3 linked regions of the Xenopus tropicalis genome follow. The main gene of each other region encodes a partner of the protein of the gene in region 2 in a complex. Links are inferred from orthologs where the notes say so. Each region holds a gene or a part of one and is shown on either strand. Other genes may lie near its edges.

Region 1 (5,655 bases), on a different chromosome or scaffold from region 2:
TCAGAGGTAGGGAAAGGCTTTATTGATTAGTTTTACTTTAAGGATTCATCTGTAGACTACATTTGTCAGTATTCTTTTACTCTTAATAGCATTTTTAGTGTGCTAGGACTTGTATGGTCCATTTTCCCTAAAAAGCGGTACTCATCCAGTTTCAAGTAAAGTAAATTTATATGTTGTATTTCTTTTCTTTTGTTCCCAGGATTCCTTTTGTAGAAAAATGATGTGGATTCAGCTTCTGTTGCCATTAGTATTCATGGTGACAGGTGAGATATCTGCCCACCTCTAACACTAAATATATATTTTATTCCTTAAGTCACTTGCTGGCCATTTCCACTGCTATTAAAATTGCATTTGTTGTGTGTATTTTTTAAGTCATTTTTAGATTCTGCAAAGTACCATATCTAAGCAAATCCTATTTTCATAAGCAGCCATTACTCTCGCACCATTAATTTAGCTTGTGATTGGTCAGCTGTTAGGACAACAACCTAGTAATACACACACAGTGATATTATGCCTAAAACACACATTTTTTTCCCAGTTTCTTCTCAGAATACAGCTCCTGAGTTTGCATCAAATATGACTTCTGCCTTCATACCAGAAGATACTCCTTTGGGTGAGTGTTTAACAAAGCTATATTAATTAACACAATATTAATTTGTTTTTATAAAATTCCCTCTGCTCTGAGATCTGTGAGTGAAGAGGGGGGCAACTGTAATTGTTTTTGTTTCTGTTGCCACTTGCCCCCGTACAGCTTTCATAACCATGCACATATATTAGTATATCCTGTTACACAGTTGGACTCTCAGTGATGTCATTATATAGACTGGTTAATTGCCATGTTGTATTTTTTTCCATTAGGTAAGTGTGTCTTCTGGATTGTGGCAAGAGATGCAGATAATGATCCTTTGACATATAGTATGGAAGGACAAGACTCCTATTATTTTAATGTCAATCTGATGACTGGGGAGGTGCAGTTAGCACTTCCCTTAGATTATGAGGTAGGCTTTCAGTACTTAGTACAACTTCTAAGAAAAATATTATCCCAGATTTTACAATGTACCAGTTCATGGCACTGTACCTTTAGGTTGTCAGCTATTGGCTTTCAGTGAAGCTTCAGTCCTAACTATTGGGAATGTTCTGGGGCTCCAAAGTGATGCACAAAGTGCCTTCACCTGCAATCTCTAGTTAACACAATGTTTGTATATGATTTATAGGGAATATACCTGCATTGCAGGTACTGTCCACATGAAACATTTTATTTACAAATTAATCCAAATATTTATACCTTATTTATCATATGTTCCCTACTATCTTGTGCAAGCTCCCTAATAGAAATATAGATAGATCTCTCTTGAATGAAATACCTTTACAAATAATAAATTTAAACTTGGAAGACCTCCACAATGAAAGTAAGAGTACTTAATTATTATTTGGACTTGATTAAACCTAATAAAATAGGAAGTATATTTCTAAAGGTATGGGAATCTTGGGTCACTGATAATCCTAAACAGGGTAGATGTGTCACATTATTTTATTCATCCTTAATTTTGTGTCGGACGATAAGTTTATTTGCCCCAATTAAAGGAGACCTGTTTTCCAGCCATAAAAAACAGTAAAATAAAAGCCCTTTTCAAATTAAACATGAAACCCAAATTATTTTTTAATTTAAACATCCATACCTGTTATACAGTCATTTAAAAATATCATCTGCCAATCATATATTGCCTGCCCTGCCTCTTTGTCCTGGGCACAGCAATTACTTTCATTTTCATTTCTGCACTTCCTAGATGTCACTACAGTCTTCACATGCCTTTTCTCTGACTGTTATATTCACAAAAGTCGTAAAGTTGTAAGTGCAGGTATAAATGATCTAACATACATATTTTATTTTTTAAGAGCAAAAACAAACTCAACACTATGATCAAGGTGCAAGATGAAATCAATAGGCCAGTAAGTATGTCATACAAGATCCTATTCCTGGTTTCTTTATTTGCATCTGCAAATTTTTTTTTTTGGGCTGTGGAAATTAGTTTTGTCTTTGCAATAAATGTTTTTTACCTTGGCTTTTTCCCCCATAGGTTATCAGACAATTTCCAGTTATAGTAGAGGATCGCAATGATAATGATCCGGTGTTCTTAGGTATTCCTTATGAAGCCAGTATCCGGGAGGTATGTTCACACATAGTGCCAGTCCCATCTGTTTTCTATGAAACTTCTTTTTTTTATTCTGTTTTCTTTTTTCTTTATTAACATAAAGAAAGGGAGAAAAAAAACAATATAGGGGCAGTGTATATCTTTTTCCAACATGCGTTCAATGAATAGGGCTTGTGCTGAACTTATTTTCTGCCCATTAGTTTAATCACAATAAATCCATGTTTTTTTGTTATTTTCTGGAAAAACAAGCAAGAGAAAGACAGGGAGAAAAAGAGGGGGGGGGGGGGTGAGGCTAAGGTAGCAGTTATGGGTGTACAGGATTAATAGTTATGGCGTTAAATTTCTGTGGGCACCCTCTTGCTAGATAAGTCAGTCTGGCTGGGAAGAAAATCATCCACCAATTTTCGCAACTGCAAATAGCACAGTCTAGAGCAGGGGTGTCAAACTCAATCACATAAGGGGGCCAAAATCTAAAACACAGGCTAAGTCGCGGGCCAAATTTTTTATTAATATACTTAGTAAGATACTATGGGGTATATTTATCACAATGTGTAAAAAGTGGAGTAAGACATTACTGGTGATGTTGCTTATGGCAGCCAATCAGATGCTTTGCTACTGTTGAAATCTGATTACTGATTGGTTGCCTTGGGCAACATTACTGGTAATCCTTCACTCCACTTTTTACACAGCATGATAAATATACCCCTTAGTCTTAGTTACTATGTGAGGAAAATGGAAATTGATCAGGCTTGATGGTCAGGGCCACATAAAACAGCCAGGTGGGCCAGATTCGGCCGCGGGCCTTGTGTTTGACATATATGGTCTAGAGTAAGAACGGAGTTACAAGTTTCCAGTCAGTCCTAGCAGACACAGTTCTGGAGAGCGAATATTTGGGAAGGCAAGCTTCTCATTAAGAAACAGTAGCACACCCCACTCACCCTATCCCTCCAATCCTATCCCACTTACCCTATCACCCTTTCTACTCAGTCAACCACAGCCCGCTAGAAATGAGAAATAATCGCGAAAACAAAAGGAAAAAAGAAGCACAAAGTCAATATGTTATCAGTGTTGAAGACTTTATTGTATAAAAGTTAGAAAAGCTGTCTAAATGTTTGACAAATAAGTTGATTGTTCTATTTCTTCAATTATAAAAATCAATAAAAACTTTAAAATTAAAAAAAAGAAAGAAACGGTAACACTTCACCCCAGAATCTCTGTATCACTGGACAGGACCATAAAACATGAAACAGTGCCTACTTCGCTTCTGCACTTGGGACATTGGACACATTTTTATAGATAGATTTTGGCCAGGCGGTAGGGGGTTAAGTATTCTCTATTTAAAAATTTTATCTGAATATATATATCCCTCATCAGACCCCTCTCATCATCAAGCGCAGGGATATCACAGCCATTTGATCTTGGTTTTCTGTAAAGGGGAAGAGTCTGAGGGAGACAGTATCATGTAAAACCAAGAAAGGGTTTTGTCAGGTCCTGTCTGTGGAGACAGGACTTCAGGGTTGTTTGAGCTACCCTAAAAGGCCTTGCAGGAAATTGGATATTGAAGGCATGGCATAGCTGCAGGAATCTATAAAGCATGTTAGAGGGGGATGCACCTCTTGTCACAGTAGGTCATATGTTGGGCCAGCTTCTGTGATTTCTGGAAGGCCCAAACTACTGTAGCCATGGAGGGTGTAGTGGCATAGAAAGAGAAGATTAGACATGGCCTCATATGAACCTAATGTAGCAGCCTCTAGGACCACTGCAGGATTATTAATGTTGGGGTCCTCCAGAGGAAGGTGCCTGCAATACATTGATATTCAGACGTGAAAGGTCTCCTGCCCACAAAAATCCCCTAATTATTTTATCCACTCCACTAAACCATTGCACTCAGGGAGTAATAGGGGAATTGTGTAGGGCGGATAAGAACTTGGGGAGAAAAATAATTTTTGAAAATATGGATTCTGCCAGGGAGGGAGAAAGGCAGGTCTTGCCATATGGAAACAAGCTTGTACCACTGGATTTATGTTTAATTGTTCATATCTATTTAGGTCCTTATGTACACTAATACCAGGGTATTGAATGAGGTCACAACTTGTAGTTGTGCTATGTGGTCAGGAGTTTCTGGGGGTAGGGGGTCTATAGAGAATATAATCGACTTAGAGTGGTTTTGTGAGGCTTAGTTAGGATCAAGTACAAGGTACTGTTTTACTATTACCACAATACAAACCCCTCTTGTCACCATTTTTGTGACTGTTTTGTTAGCAGAAGTCCAATATGTATGGGTATTATCTGTTCACTTGTGATCTAATTATCTACTTCTCAAGGACCATACACTGAGTAGCTTCAGTTTTCTCTGTGTTGCCCTGTTTATCAAAAGACAAAAACCATAGATGTTTTGATTAAACAGGCAAAAATATGTTTAGCACAAGCCCTATTCATTGCAGTTATTCTAAATATTGGAGTATACTGGCCCTTTAATAACAACAATAAAACATGATTTCATCTGTCATTTAAATAAATAGATAGATAGATAGATAGATAGATAGATAGATAGATAGATAGAACATTAACCATAATTATTATATCTAAAGTTTACTTCTATTACTGCATCCTCAATAGCAGCAGATTGTAAGATTTTCATAAGTGTACCAGGACTCCACTTGATGCACCCTAGCACAATTACCTGTAGATTACAATGGATATAGAGACAGATATAGAAACATAGATCAATAAATAGAGAGAGAGAGAGATAAATAGGTAATGGATAGACAGAGAAGCAAACAGATTGAAGAACAGAATTGCTACAAATATACACGCATGATTCTCTCAAATTCATTTGTGATCAGGAATTATTCACAGTATGTTCCTTGACAGGATCAGCCATTGGGCTCCATTGTTTTTAGTGTCAGTGCAGTAGATTTTGATGATGATGGAAGAGTTCCAGTGACATATTCCATTGATGAGGTAAGATAATGAGTAGTAAAACGTTTGACTAAGATGTACTATGTACTATGACCAGGCAATTTATTGTATTTGCATAAACAAACTTAATTTGAAATTACTGGTTCTTAAACTTCAGACAGGTATTACCGTAATATTAACTTTGAGACAGGTATATTCTAGGAATGTGTTCAATTGATCTTAATTATTTATGACCTTTTGTTTTTGGAACCATTTGCTTTTCTATTCTTCCTCTCTAAAACCTGAAATGTAGTATGTAGGCTTAATTTTTTTCTATAATACTTTTATCACTGATCTTTCTATTGAAACCTCTACTATTTTTCTTCCTGTCTGGCATTCTAAACAAGCCACTTTGCTAGGATTAGTGAAACCCTAGTAACCAGATTATATTAAAATGATGATGTGATACAGTGAAGCCCTAGATCAGTTTGGGGGCCATAAAAATGATTTGGAGGGCCACACCCTACCCACGGGCCCCCAGTTGGACTGGGATATCAGTGCTGCAATGGTATTTTATAATGCAAGATTGGTGACACACATC
Region 2 (6,282 bases):
GTTGGCCCCAGAGTGCTGCAGCCTCCAGTTTGCAGGGAAATGGTCATTTTCATAAAAGTAGTTTTACAAAAGTAATGCCGTGTATGGCTAATATGGCGTGCATTTTTTCGCAGGCGGCGACTATTTGTGCACGATGCGTTCCGTCAAATATCGCACGAAAATAGTCTTCACGACTTAAATAACGCAAGCAGCATCGCGTCTAAATTAACGCAAATATCCTTTTAGTGAACCGTGCGTTAAGACACAAAAAATTAGACGCAATAAAAATTTTAACGCATGCTATAAATAGCGCACGTTTTAACGCACTTTAGTGAATCAACCCTACAGTGTCTTGTAGCCTGTCAGAACTATACACACTGTCAGAAATACACACTGTTCCCCAGTTAGAGCAGAAGAGCCCAGAAGTGGCTTGGATATTGGCTACAATTTTCAAGCCTGAAAAAAACCCTATTGGGTGTCTAAACACAAGATTTGGAAGAAAAAAACTCCTCATTAAAGCAGAAAGGGAAAAGATGGAATGGAGGTTCATTCTTTTACACATGGAGCGTGAACTCTTTATTAACTCTTTATGAACTCTTTATTAACTTAATCTAATAACTTACTGGAGGAGCAGAGGAAATTATTTCAGTCCCCCTCCTACAGTATGATATAAAGATTCAACTAGTAAAGAAAAGTTAGCACCCATCCTACCTGCCGCAGGATAACCATTGCTCATCAGGGTTTTTTCTTCTTGTCACCTTTAAAAAAAAAAAAAATTATTAGAGTATTATGTCTCTCTAGTAGTTGTTTTTAGGAAATCTGATATTGGAAGTGTATACGAGGTTAAGTGGTAATTGCCATAGTATCTTACAATTTAATAATAACATATAATAACAGAAAAACAGCACAAAATTAATCTTTCTTGCACTTTGGCCCCAGTAATTCAGGGTGGAACAGGGTCACTAGACATTACACATAAATCTTGACTGTTCTATGGCAAGTGATCCTGTTTACCACCATATATTCTATTAATTGATGGCTTAAATTTACAGCTCATTTATGTGCACAAGAGGAGAGTGCAAAGTACAATTTCAGGAAAAAATGCACAATTGCATGTGCATGTCAATGTAAATCTATTAAAATATTTTCTGTCATAGCAATGTTGTTTCTGAATGATGTCTTAACTTGATTCATTAGGCGCAGCTTTGCTGTGTCTATAGAGGCGGGCTGCTGTGGGAAGCCTGGAGCCTTTACATCAATAGGCACACTTGTGCACAAATGGACATTCAGCTCTCAGAGGTGAAACGCAAGGAGCAGCAAGTACCTTTTATGAATGGTGCCGATATAGTGCAATGACTGTACCTTATTTCTTGAAGTCACTGCTGCTGTTGCAATCATAAGCCCTAAGATGTTGCCTTAAAATATTTATTATGGATTCTGCAATCTTGCAAGATTCCATTATCTATACACTTGCTTTTCCCCCTCCCTTACAGCTAAGGACAAGGAAGCTGTGTTTTAAATTCTCAGCTTATATCTAATGACCTGTATTTACCTGCAGTTTTCAAACATTTTGTTCATGTGTTATGCTGCCTATTTCTCTAAAACACCACCTTAAAGGGGACGTGTTGTGTAAAAAACAAGAATGTGCCTTAAAAAGCTGCCTTTTATGGTTATTTATTATAGTCCAAAAGTCTCCAAAAACCCTACTAGTCCCAACCATCTGTTCCACTTCCTGCTGCCTCCTTTTCCAGGCTGTGCAGCAGTTAGAACAACACTACAGGTGGCACTTAGCGCTGTAGGATAGCAACCAATAAGCAGCTAGGAAGACCTGATAGGGAACTGAAGCCTAGCTTTGCTTGGGTGACTTCAGGGCTGTGATTGGCTATCCTCCTTCTACTGAGCTTCTGGCAGGAACTACTGGGACATGCCCACCCCTCAATAAAACATGGACAGGGATCGTAACAAATCGATGGGTAGCTTCAATAAAGGGGCCATATTTAAAGATAATGATAATTTGTAGCATTATTATTAGTATTCCTTATTAGCTACAAGATTGGGGACAGGGGTCAGTAATGCCATAAATCACAAATTAGAAGCCCAACATTTTACTATACTCTGTGTTTACTGTCCTTTTGCTTAGTTCAAAATGTGACATAATGTATTTTATAACTGAAACCTTGCCTACTTTTGAGAATGTTGTCTAAATCCCATGAAATACTCTGCACTGAACTGCTAAAAGCTTGTAGCTGCCTAGAAAAATTGTTATGGTTTTTAGGAGGGCAAAATGCCTGGACTACAAAAATCTATAGTTAACTGCTTGGCAAAACTATGGTTCATGTACGACTGCAAGTGCAGTCATTAAAGGTACTTGCATCACATGGTGCTCCTTGCACTTTGATATAATTCAGTCCTTCATGCTTTCATTCCAAACTCCACACTTATGATTTGCATCAGGGAAAAAGTGATAGTGCCCAGAGGTATTACTAAACTGCCCTGAATACTTTCACCCAATAGAGCAAAACAGTGTTTGCCTGCTCGAAGCAGTGAAACACATTCTAACCAACTGACATGTATCAGGTTTGATAAATGCCCTGGCCCAAAGGTTTACTTTGCTTATGTATCTATAATCTTTGTGGGGAAATAAGGGGAGAATAAGCAACATTACTGAAAAAAGACTGTGCAACCCTAAAGCATGGCTTCTATTATTTTTATTATAAAAAGTAAATTTCAAGCAGTGTGCCTTGTTTGGGTCTCCTCAAACTACATAATACTTAGGTACTGCTTAAAATAAACAAATATACAGGTAAATTACTAATCATCAATGAAGACAATGTCTACATTTTTATTTACTAACACTACACTGTACTGTATTCATCGCATTAAAGGGATGATTTATTTAAGTTCACTCTCCCACAGACCAAGATTTTTACATTTTAGCCATTATTTTTGCCAAGGCTTTTTTTTGTCCATGGAAGCCTTGTACGGTGTGAGATATATTTTCACATTCTAGAAATTCACAAAAAAAATTCTACAAATGTTTCTCATAATTGAGATCAGTCAAGAAAAAACAAGATAGATATATACATTTTGATAAATATGCTTAAGGCAATGGCAGGCCCAGATGTGCCCTTGTGTCATGGTATCCATAAGTAATAAGCTAACTTAAAATGAAAACTTATATACATATATATATATATATACATATAAAGTGACAATTACATTTTAATATATTAAACATTGATGTGGTAAAGAAATACCTTCAGATAAGCGTACAAATGACCAAGTGATTTATGTAATTATCCATTAACTAATGCTAGTACTTGGTGTGTTTTCTCCACCGGCACATCCTGATGAGTCTGACACCGCCCCTGCCTTTTCCCACTGCCTTGAAATTCTAGTGCCAGCATGGAAGCTTTGCAGCGAGAAGATGAGCTAGTGACTGTTTCCCAATGAAGTCTATGGATGCCGGGAGGGTCAGTCACTGCCAGATGAAATACACCAATAAAGGAACTGCCCTGTGTGACATAAGACTAACATTCTGATCTTTTATCAGCCATTTGGTACTAATCTGCCATGATCTATAACAGTACAGAAACAAGCTAAAACCAAATGTTTCAAATAGCTCAGTAACGAAATTCAGTCCTATTTTTTATTTTTACTACTTGAAACAAAATTTGAAGATAAAAAGTTCATCCCTATAAACCTTGCTATTAAGAAATGCTTACCTTCTAGGTGTGTTGCTGGATTGAGAATTTGCGGAGCAAGAACTGTTGGGAGGAATGACTTCTCTTTATGACTGGACTTTGGTCACCGTTCTGCAAATAACCTTTTTTTTTTCGCATCTAATTTGCCTAATTATAACTTGAACGAAAAGTAATTCCCTAGAGCTTTTCTAGTTTAAATTATTGCAGCTCTGAAAGTTATAAATCTGCAGGGTAAGATTTTCTAGAAAAATGTGTTTTACACTGCATGCACCATTACACTGGACATGGTATTTGACATATCAGTTTTTATTCTGGACTACCACTGCTACGGTTACCGCTTCTAGCTACTTTGCATACAAAGCACTGAAAGGTGTTTATCTTTTAGCACTGAGCCCAGTCCCTTTATAAAAGCCTTCCCTTCCTCTCAGGTCAGCAGCATTCTCAAGAAACTTCACAGGATTCAGTGTTTTAGAAATACAGGGCATATTTATCAAATATATTTGTCAATCGACATGGTCCACAAGAGCTCAGTATTCATTTCTATATAATTTTAGGGGCATATTTGTCAAATATTAAACTCTATTTTCATCCGCTTCATCAGTTGATAAATATGCCCCTTAAAATCCTATACAAGTGGACAGAAAGCTATAGAGTTTCTTCCTTGCAAAGTGTGAACTCTATTTTCCCCATTATAAAATGTGTCCCTAAATACAAAACAAAATATCTTTTATATTTTTTAACAAAAGTTGATAATTATTATGATTCCAATCAGCATTATGATATTATATGTATATATGTATAACTTTATTTATAAAGCACCACAAGGGTACGCAGCGCTGTAAAATCTTACAAAATACAAAATTACACACAGTGAGGACAAATGTTATAATAAATAAATACAATAAATATATATAAATGCACAGGGAATAAGTACCATGTGGTATGAGACACAGTAGGTAGGAGGTCCCTGCCCCGAAGAGCTTACAGTCTAAGTCTATTATATAATGTTGAATACAATGTATTAAATGTTTGCATCAGTTTCTTTGTAGAAATGTAATTTCACTTGAAACGTAATAGGAGGGCAGAAAAGATGAACCACACCGTGTGTGTTTTATGAGTGTATTATATATTATATCATGGTTCATTAACCAAATCTATATTGCCTTGAGGGTGGGAAGCTTGCAATCAATGATTTATTTATTAACTAGTTGAAGCAATGACCTTTACCCAGTTCATCTGAGTAAAATACGTCTTCAGCACAAGCACAGGAGACTGACGCCTCAGCATGTCTGTTCTATACATGTATCCAGCTAAAGGTGTATGATGTTGTCTGCTTGCAATTTACATGTTGCCGGAATTAACGTACATAATAACTAGGTTGTAAACTTTGAATTACAAACAGGAACAGCACCACAGATATGCATGTTCTAGACAAGCACCAATTTTACAATAATGCTGTAAGGGGTAAAACTTTTATTTCAACAATTGTGTTTAATTCTTTGTCCCTGCTGCATCTGACAGTCTGATCTCCAATCATGGAGAAATAAGGGTGGTCGAAAGTCAAGCTCTTTACTTTCTGCAGCAGGAGCTATTTGGAAACCAAGACACATTGCACCTCACACTGATGTTACTCTTTGCAGCCTGGTTTTTAGCTGGCTCCCACTGCAGAGAGGAGAGAGCAGCCTTAACTGTGCATGAACTATGGCTCCAAAACCTCAGTATATAACTTTTGTTTATAGTAATATGTTATTTCTAAAAGGGTTCTCATTCATTAACTGTTTCAAATATGCTCTTTACACATATTTATTCACTTAGATAACAATTGGTTATTATAAGGGGCCGTAGGCACTTATTAGAATGTGCATTAAAGGGATATTGTCATGATTTTGATGGCATAGCTTTTAATACTATATTACACTGTTTTTCTTGCAAATAATTCATTTTACCTTTTAAATTTATTTTCAAACAAACTAATGTTTATTTTTAGTTTTAATAATGGTGTGTGGGCAGCCATCTCTGGTTATTTTGCATGAAACTGTGCTTTCAGAAACAGTCAGGCATGTTCTTTGAGGCAGCTACTGTATTCGCTATTCAGTTGTTATCTTCTTATAATATACTAGAGCTTTTCCTCCTATGTCTCCTGCTGGTTGCCATTTGGTGGAGCATGGATGAACCACTTGGTGGAGCATGGATGAACCACTAATCATATGTGGATCAACAATTCCTTGAGCTGTGCCAGTCCAAACCTGATCCGTTTAGTCCTGGCCCAGCTCGCTGTACCGCTACTGTATATATACCTGACCTGCCCATTTCTGATGTCAGAAAGGGGAGCAGGGTGGGCAGACATGAGGATATTAAAGATAGGACCATGGAAACTGGAGCCCGGGAGACGGGAAACCCCACAATTTTTACACACCTCTACAAACCACCCAATACACTTTCTGTTGATGTATATTGAAAATGCCTGACACAGCAAGAGCAAGTGGCTCTTTGCCCAAGAACATGCATTAGAGAATTTTAATAGGCACCTAAGTTAGTAGTGTTAGACAGCTTCCATAAGGGCTGTGGCAGACAGGGTGCCTCTTTGCCAGTGGTCAGT
Region 3 (5,655 bases), on a different chromosome or scaffold from region 2:
GCACCAAATCCTAATTGGCATATGCTAATTAGATTTTGGAAGGATCATATCTGGGAAAAATTTTCAACTTCCGTGTTTACGTGACAAAAAGTCACATGATTTTTCAGATTCGGTTCGGCCAGAGGCATTGATTTGGCTGAATCCCGAACCGAATCCTGGATTCGGTGCATCCCTACTTTTTTATCAAAGTAAGTTCTGCCTGTGTAAGCCTGCATTCTTCATTGCATGAACCTTACGGCACACATGTACTGTTTGCAGATGTAAATGTCACTGAATATGTGTGAGAGGGAAGCTGGTATTTGTTTTAGGAAGATGGTGCTGGTGAATGAAGGGGATATATACAAATGGTGTGGTTTGGGAGTTGTGCCCACCTTATACACATGATAGGAAAAAGTGGGGTTACCATGTCTAACAGAATTCAAAGAATTCATAATTAACTTTATTAACAAAAATGGTATGAATTTTAAGTTTACAAAATGCATCTTTCTTACAAAGTATCCAGACTATAAATGGCACCTCATATATATGTATAAGTAGTGTATATGTATGCAAGCTTTGTGTAGTGGGTAGAAAGGAGACTTGTTGTTCAGTATTACTTCCCTTTGGAAAGCAAGAAAGAAACATACTTGGGGTGATTTCCACTTCAACATTAGTGATGTCCTCTTCTCTCGTCACGGTGTCAGTTGCCAGTACCTGCGTGAGAAAAAAAGAGTTAATTTATTTTTTGGTTTACCTTGTTGAAATCCAGCGGCCCCAAGTTCCAACTAGAAGACCTGGGCCCAACAGCCATTAGGAAAGTATTTCTAATTGTATTTTGTACCTTGAATTTATGGTAAATGAGCCTTTCTATGGAGAATATGGAACCTACTGTAGTTCCTTTCTTGTGAGCAATGCATAGGTAATGGTAATGTCTCCATTACAGGAGCTGGTACAAGTCGCACAGCGCAGCTTGCACCTTCCAATGGTACAGGTTGGTGTGCTTCAGTTTGTGTGTCCTGGTACCATTGATAAGAGAGGCCTGCAGTGTCTGTGCAGGCTGATTTCATACATAACCATGTTTAAAAAACATCATCTAGTTCTCCAGTTAAATTTTGGCCTTGAACCTAGATTTATATTCCACACTACTACACATCCGAATGTGCCTAAAAGAATTTAGTCTCCACCAGAAAAGAAAATAATGAAACCTTGAACAAATAATAATAACTGATAATACTTACAGTAAATGCTACTTTAGTTGGAGAGTTAAATACAGCATCGTTTTTTATAAATCCATTCCGGGACACTGAGAAATCAGTTGTGCCTTGAATTGTGTATGTGATATATGGATTCATCCGCTGAAATACAAACATTCACATTCAGATCAGTTCTCCTCTTTTGTATGCTTGTTAATTTGACCAGAGCAGTTGCACTTAACTTAAAGGGATACTGTCATGATTTTTATGGTGTATTTTTTATTTATAAATGACACTGTTTACATAGCTCATAATTCACTTTCTTGAACCAACAAATGTATTTTTTTTAGCTGTAATATTGGTGTGTAGGCGCCATCTCAGTGCATTGTGCCTGAGTCTGAGCTTTCAGAGGGAGCCAGCGCTACAGCCAGTGCTTTCAGCTAACCTATTGTTTCTCCTACTCCCATGTAACTGGAGGAGTCCCAAGCCAGACTTGGATTTCTTACTATTGAGTGCTATTCTAAAACCTGCTGGGAACTGCTATCTTGCTCCCTTCCCATTGTTCTGCTGATTGGCTGCTGGGAGGGGGTTATCACTCCAACTTGCAGCTCAGCAGTAAAGTGTGACTGAAGTTTATCAGAGCACAAGTCACATGACTGTGGCACCCTGGGAAATGAAGGATATTGCTAGTCTCATGTGAAATTTCAAAATTAAATATAAAAAATTCTGTTTGTGTTGTTGAATAACAGATTTCAATGCAGGATTCTGCAGGAGAAGCTCTATTAACTGATGGGTTTTGGAAAAAAACATGTTTTCCCATGACATTATCAATTTGAACTGTGCATCAAAATGGACACAACAATATGATGTACGAAATATCACGCAAAAGAGAATTTCAACCTTTGAAGTCATGGTTTTGAGATAAAAAGTGTCCAATAAGGACAAGCCTGCAATATTTGAACATCAAGTGGCCAGTCATGAGAATCTGTTTCCACCTTTTCAAGCTTGTTTAGAGACCCCAGACCAGTGGTCACACATCCAAAGTTGCTATGTTTCCCGTCCAGCCAATCTGTAAGTCCCAGTATTAGGAAGAACTGACTCCCATTACGCATGGCCAGTATTTGCTATTGTTACAATGCCTGTATGTATAAAGTTAGGTCTGGATGGATTTCATCTTCAAATTGTTTTACTCCAAGCAGAGCCTCCTGCAGGCTAGCACTCCACATGGGGCTACCAAATAGCCAATCACAGTCCTTATTTGAAATCCCCAAAGAGCTGTTTTCATGGTTGTGTGGCTCACCAACACTTTTTACTGCTGAGTGTGACTCACGGGTAAAAAAGTTGAGCGTTCCCTGCTCTAAATATAGCTACATAATAACTGTAAGGGAAATATGTAAAAAAAGAAATATTAAAAATGATAAAGCCTGTCTCCCCTGCTGCAAGGAAAACTAGCTGATATACCAGTAACCTACATCTTCAAAATCTTCATCTGCAGCAAACACTTGTAGGAGTCTGTTGGGGCTACTGGAATCGGTAACAGATGTGCCAGTGGCAGACTGAACCTGGATTGTTCCAAAATAATTTTGCTTTTCAAACTTTGGAGGGTGGTGGTTTCTTTCCACAACATCAATTGTCAATGAAGTAGTTGCAAATTTCTGTCCATCATTAACTTGGGCAGCCTGAGTGAGACAGAAGTGGCAAAAGACCAACAAATTACTAAGGAAATGAACATTCCATTGATGAGTTAACCAAGCCCACATACAGGAGAGCTCAGGGTTGGACTGGGCCAGCGGGGCACCGGGAAAAAACACGGTGGGCCCGCTGGCCCAGACCCGATCCCCATGGCGCTCCCCCACCAGAAGATCTCCCTAAGGTAATATTAAAAGCAGGTGAACTCGGAGGAGGGAGTTGTGCGGGCGGCAGGGGCCCCCGGGGTAGGGGTTGTGGGGCCAGGCCAGGGCACCCCTTTAACAGGAGCCCCGTTGGGCCCTGAACCCCCCAGTCCGACCCTGGGAGAGCTACCTTTTACCCTAGTGAGGCTGCAATCTGCTTGTCCAGGCTGTATATTCATTTTGGCAGTGTAATACATAAGAACTTTCTTTTGCTACACAGCATGCACCAATGATAGCCAGCAGGGGACCCCAGAAACTGCTTTTAAGTCTGGATCAAAGTGGCTGGATTAAAGAGGATGTTCATCTTCAGACAACAGTCTGGATTTGAACAGCCCCTGTGGGAAAAAAACATTTTTGCAAATCATCTTTATTATTTTAAATGTTTAGTTTTGAACCTACAGACCATATAAGCTTTGGATCAGCACTGCTAAAATTCTCACTGATCTGCTCTGTGCTCTCTCTGCAGGGGACTTCCCAGACAAGGATTTGGCAGGCAGCAAAATAAAAAAAAAAGTTCACTCTGAACTGGTTCTTGTTCTTCCCTCCCCTTTTTTTCCATATCTTTGATACAATTGGCTAGGAAGTTTTAGCCAATCAGATCAATGAAAAACAACTTCCTGTTAGGGCAGAATGCAAGTGAGTGTGGCCGATCCCCTCCAAAGAGAGAACAGAGAGCAGAGGAGAAAGAGCTTTAGCAGTGCTGATCCTGGTCTGTGGCTTGAAAACTATACATTACAAATATATATTTATATGGTGATTGAATAATACTGCCTTTATATGCTTACAGATTAAGTGACACTTTTACATACTTTTTTTATACTCAGTTGAAGTGGGTTAATTTTGTGCATTGTAGGGACATTGTTTTTATGTATACTTATGTACTGGTTGTCAATTAATTGTAATAGTAAAAGCCTTAATAAGGGATATTTAGTCACACTTTGAAGTTCCAAAGTTGCTAAGTTATCAGTGTATTTGGTGAAGAAGGGTATGAGGCCTTGATTGGCCCATATAGTTATTCTTTGAGTCACACATTTATCAATTCATTTATTTATTCATGTATTCGTGGGCTAATGAATTAGGCTGTTAGTATATTGCTGGAGTGAGAAACTTTGAGATTCTTATTGCCATCTAGAGAGACTTTATTTTTATATCAGTGTTTTATTAAAGCAGAAAAGCAATATATTATCATAAAAAGGGTATGCTCTCTTTTTATAGTCAATAAAATAATAAAGCTGTGGTTTGACATATGCAATGTTCTCCTTGAGAATTTCTCCTTGAGGTTAGGTGGTTTGGTGGCAAGAAGAAATATATTAAGGCCAATAGGTATAAAATATACCCTCTTCCTTTTTGACATAAGCTCAAACTCATGGGCAAGCAGAGAAACTTACTACTTACCATAATCTGCAAAAATATTATCCCCAAAGTATCTGCTGCTTTAGTCATTGTTATATTTCCACTAAATTTATCCACGGCAAATATTCCTGCATCATTCCCTAGGGATACATAAAAAAAATATATAAATATGTTTTCTAAATCAGGGCAACAACAGTCTAACTGCTCTGCTCATTCTTTGTGCTTTTTAATACTTTAAATCTCAGGATTACACAGCTGAAGGTATACGGGCCAAACACAACCTTTCAAGGAAATGATATAGCCCCCCAACCAACCTGAGAATAATATTTTCGTGATGTCATAATTTTGGTTGGATTAAAGCCCTCAAATCTGTGAATATGTCTTTATATACACCACATGGGCAAAAGTATTTGGAAATACCTTCTATTTATTGTAAAGGGATATTTAAGCCACAGCCATCATTGCTGGCACTACATCATATTTTTAACAATGTTGTGCTTTTTACTTTGCGGCAAAAAGTAATGAAGGCCCTTTGTGTTCCTGCCAAACAATACCACGCATGCACATAGTAAGGTCCATACAGAATTGGGTTGCAGAGATGGGAGTGGAGGAACTTGATGGCCCTGCACAGAGCCTGGACATCAGCCCAACTGAACATGCTGCATAAGCTGTGAGATGAACTGGAATATAAACTATGAGCCCGGCCCCCTCACCCAACATCGGTGCACAACCTTACTAATTCTCTTCCCAGTAGAGTAGAGGGAAGCAAAGGGATGAATTAATCAATACCCTTGGTTTGGGAATAAATTGTTGGACAGGTATACTTCCACATAGTTTTGTCCATGTATCATAACACTTTGCTATGAGAAGCTGTTGTCAGAATATTTAGAAAAGAGAAAAAAGCGAACATGTTTAGGTGCTCAATGAGCCCCTAAAACTGTCTCACTGCAACAGTTGTACAATAGCCCACTGTTACTGCGAAAAAGTTTTTAGTATAAAAATAATATTTCCTATTGAGGAATCCTTTACAGAATTTATAAAGTTTTACCTTTCCAAACAGTATTTTAGTGAACACCTGTACCAACTTAGTTATCCAGGTTGATTATTATAGTTTGGATCTCCCACTCAAGGTTTTTGAATGATCACTAAGACTAAAGAAAATGTATCAGAGATGAATTTTAAAACCTTGCTTGCCAGAGAACCACATGTATGGTTACTAGTTAAGTTGGAGCAGGATG

What was found.
Region 1: myo7b (region 2) and cdhr2 share a complex: the UniProt entries of both Homo sapiens proteins name them as parts of the IMAC/intermicrovillar adhesion complex. The link is inferred for Xenopus tropicalis from reciprocal best matches to the Homo sapiens genes MYO7B and CDHR2.
Region 3: myo7b (region 2) and cdhr5 share a complex: the UniProt entries of both Homo sapiens proteins name them as parts of the IMAC/intermicrovillar adhesion complex. The link is inferred for Xenopus tropicalis from reciprocal best matches to the Homo sapiens genes MYO7B and CDHR5.

Annotation. Positions count from the first base shown.
Region 1 is NC_030679.2:47,448,395-47,454,049, reverse strand, and holds part of cdhr2 (cadherin-related family member 2), read left to right. Parts: intron 1-199; coding exon 200-263; intron 264-538; coding exon 539-613; intron 614-858; coding exon 859-998; intron 999-1,896; coding exon 1,897-1,950; intron 1,951-2,078; coding exon 2,079-2,168; intron 2,169-5,027; coding exon 5,028-5,117; intron 5,118-5,655. UniProt on the Homo sapiens protein: Intermicrovillar adhesion molecule that forms, via its extracellular domain, calcium-dependent heterophilic complexes with CDHR5 on adjacent microvilli. Thereby, controls the packing of microvilli at the apical membrane of epithelial cells.
Region 2 is NC_030681.2:125,545,134-125,551,415, forward strand, and holds the start of myo7b (unconventional myosin-VIIb), read right to left. Parts: upstream 3,765-6,282; 5' UTR 3,705-3,764; intron 738-3,704; 5' UTR 709-737; coding exon 691-708; intron 1-690. UniProt on the Homo sapiens protein: Myosins are actin-based motor molecules with ATPase activity. Their highly divergent tails are presumed to bind to membranous compartments, which would be moved relative to actin filaments.
Region 3 is NC_030680.2:31,974,574-31,980,228, reverse strand, and holds part of cdhr5 (cadherin-related family member 5), read right to left. Parts: intron 4,558-5,655; coding exon 4,460-4,557; intron 2,852-4,459; coding exon 2,645-2,851; intron 1,335-2,644; coding exon 1,218-1,334; intron 694-1,217; coding exon 627-693; intron 1-626. UniProt on the Homo sapiens protein: Intermicrovillar adhesion molecule that forms, via its extracellular domain, calcium-dependent heterophilic complexes with CDHR2 on adjacent microvilli. Thereby, controls the packing of microvilli at the apical membrane of epithelial cells.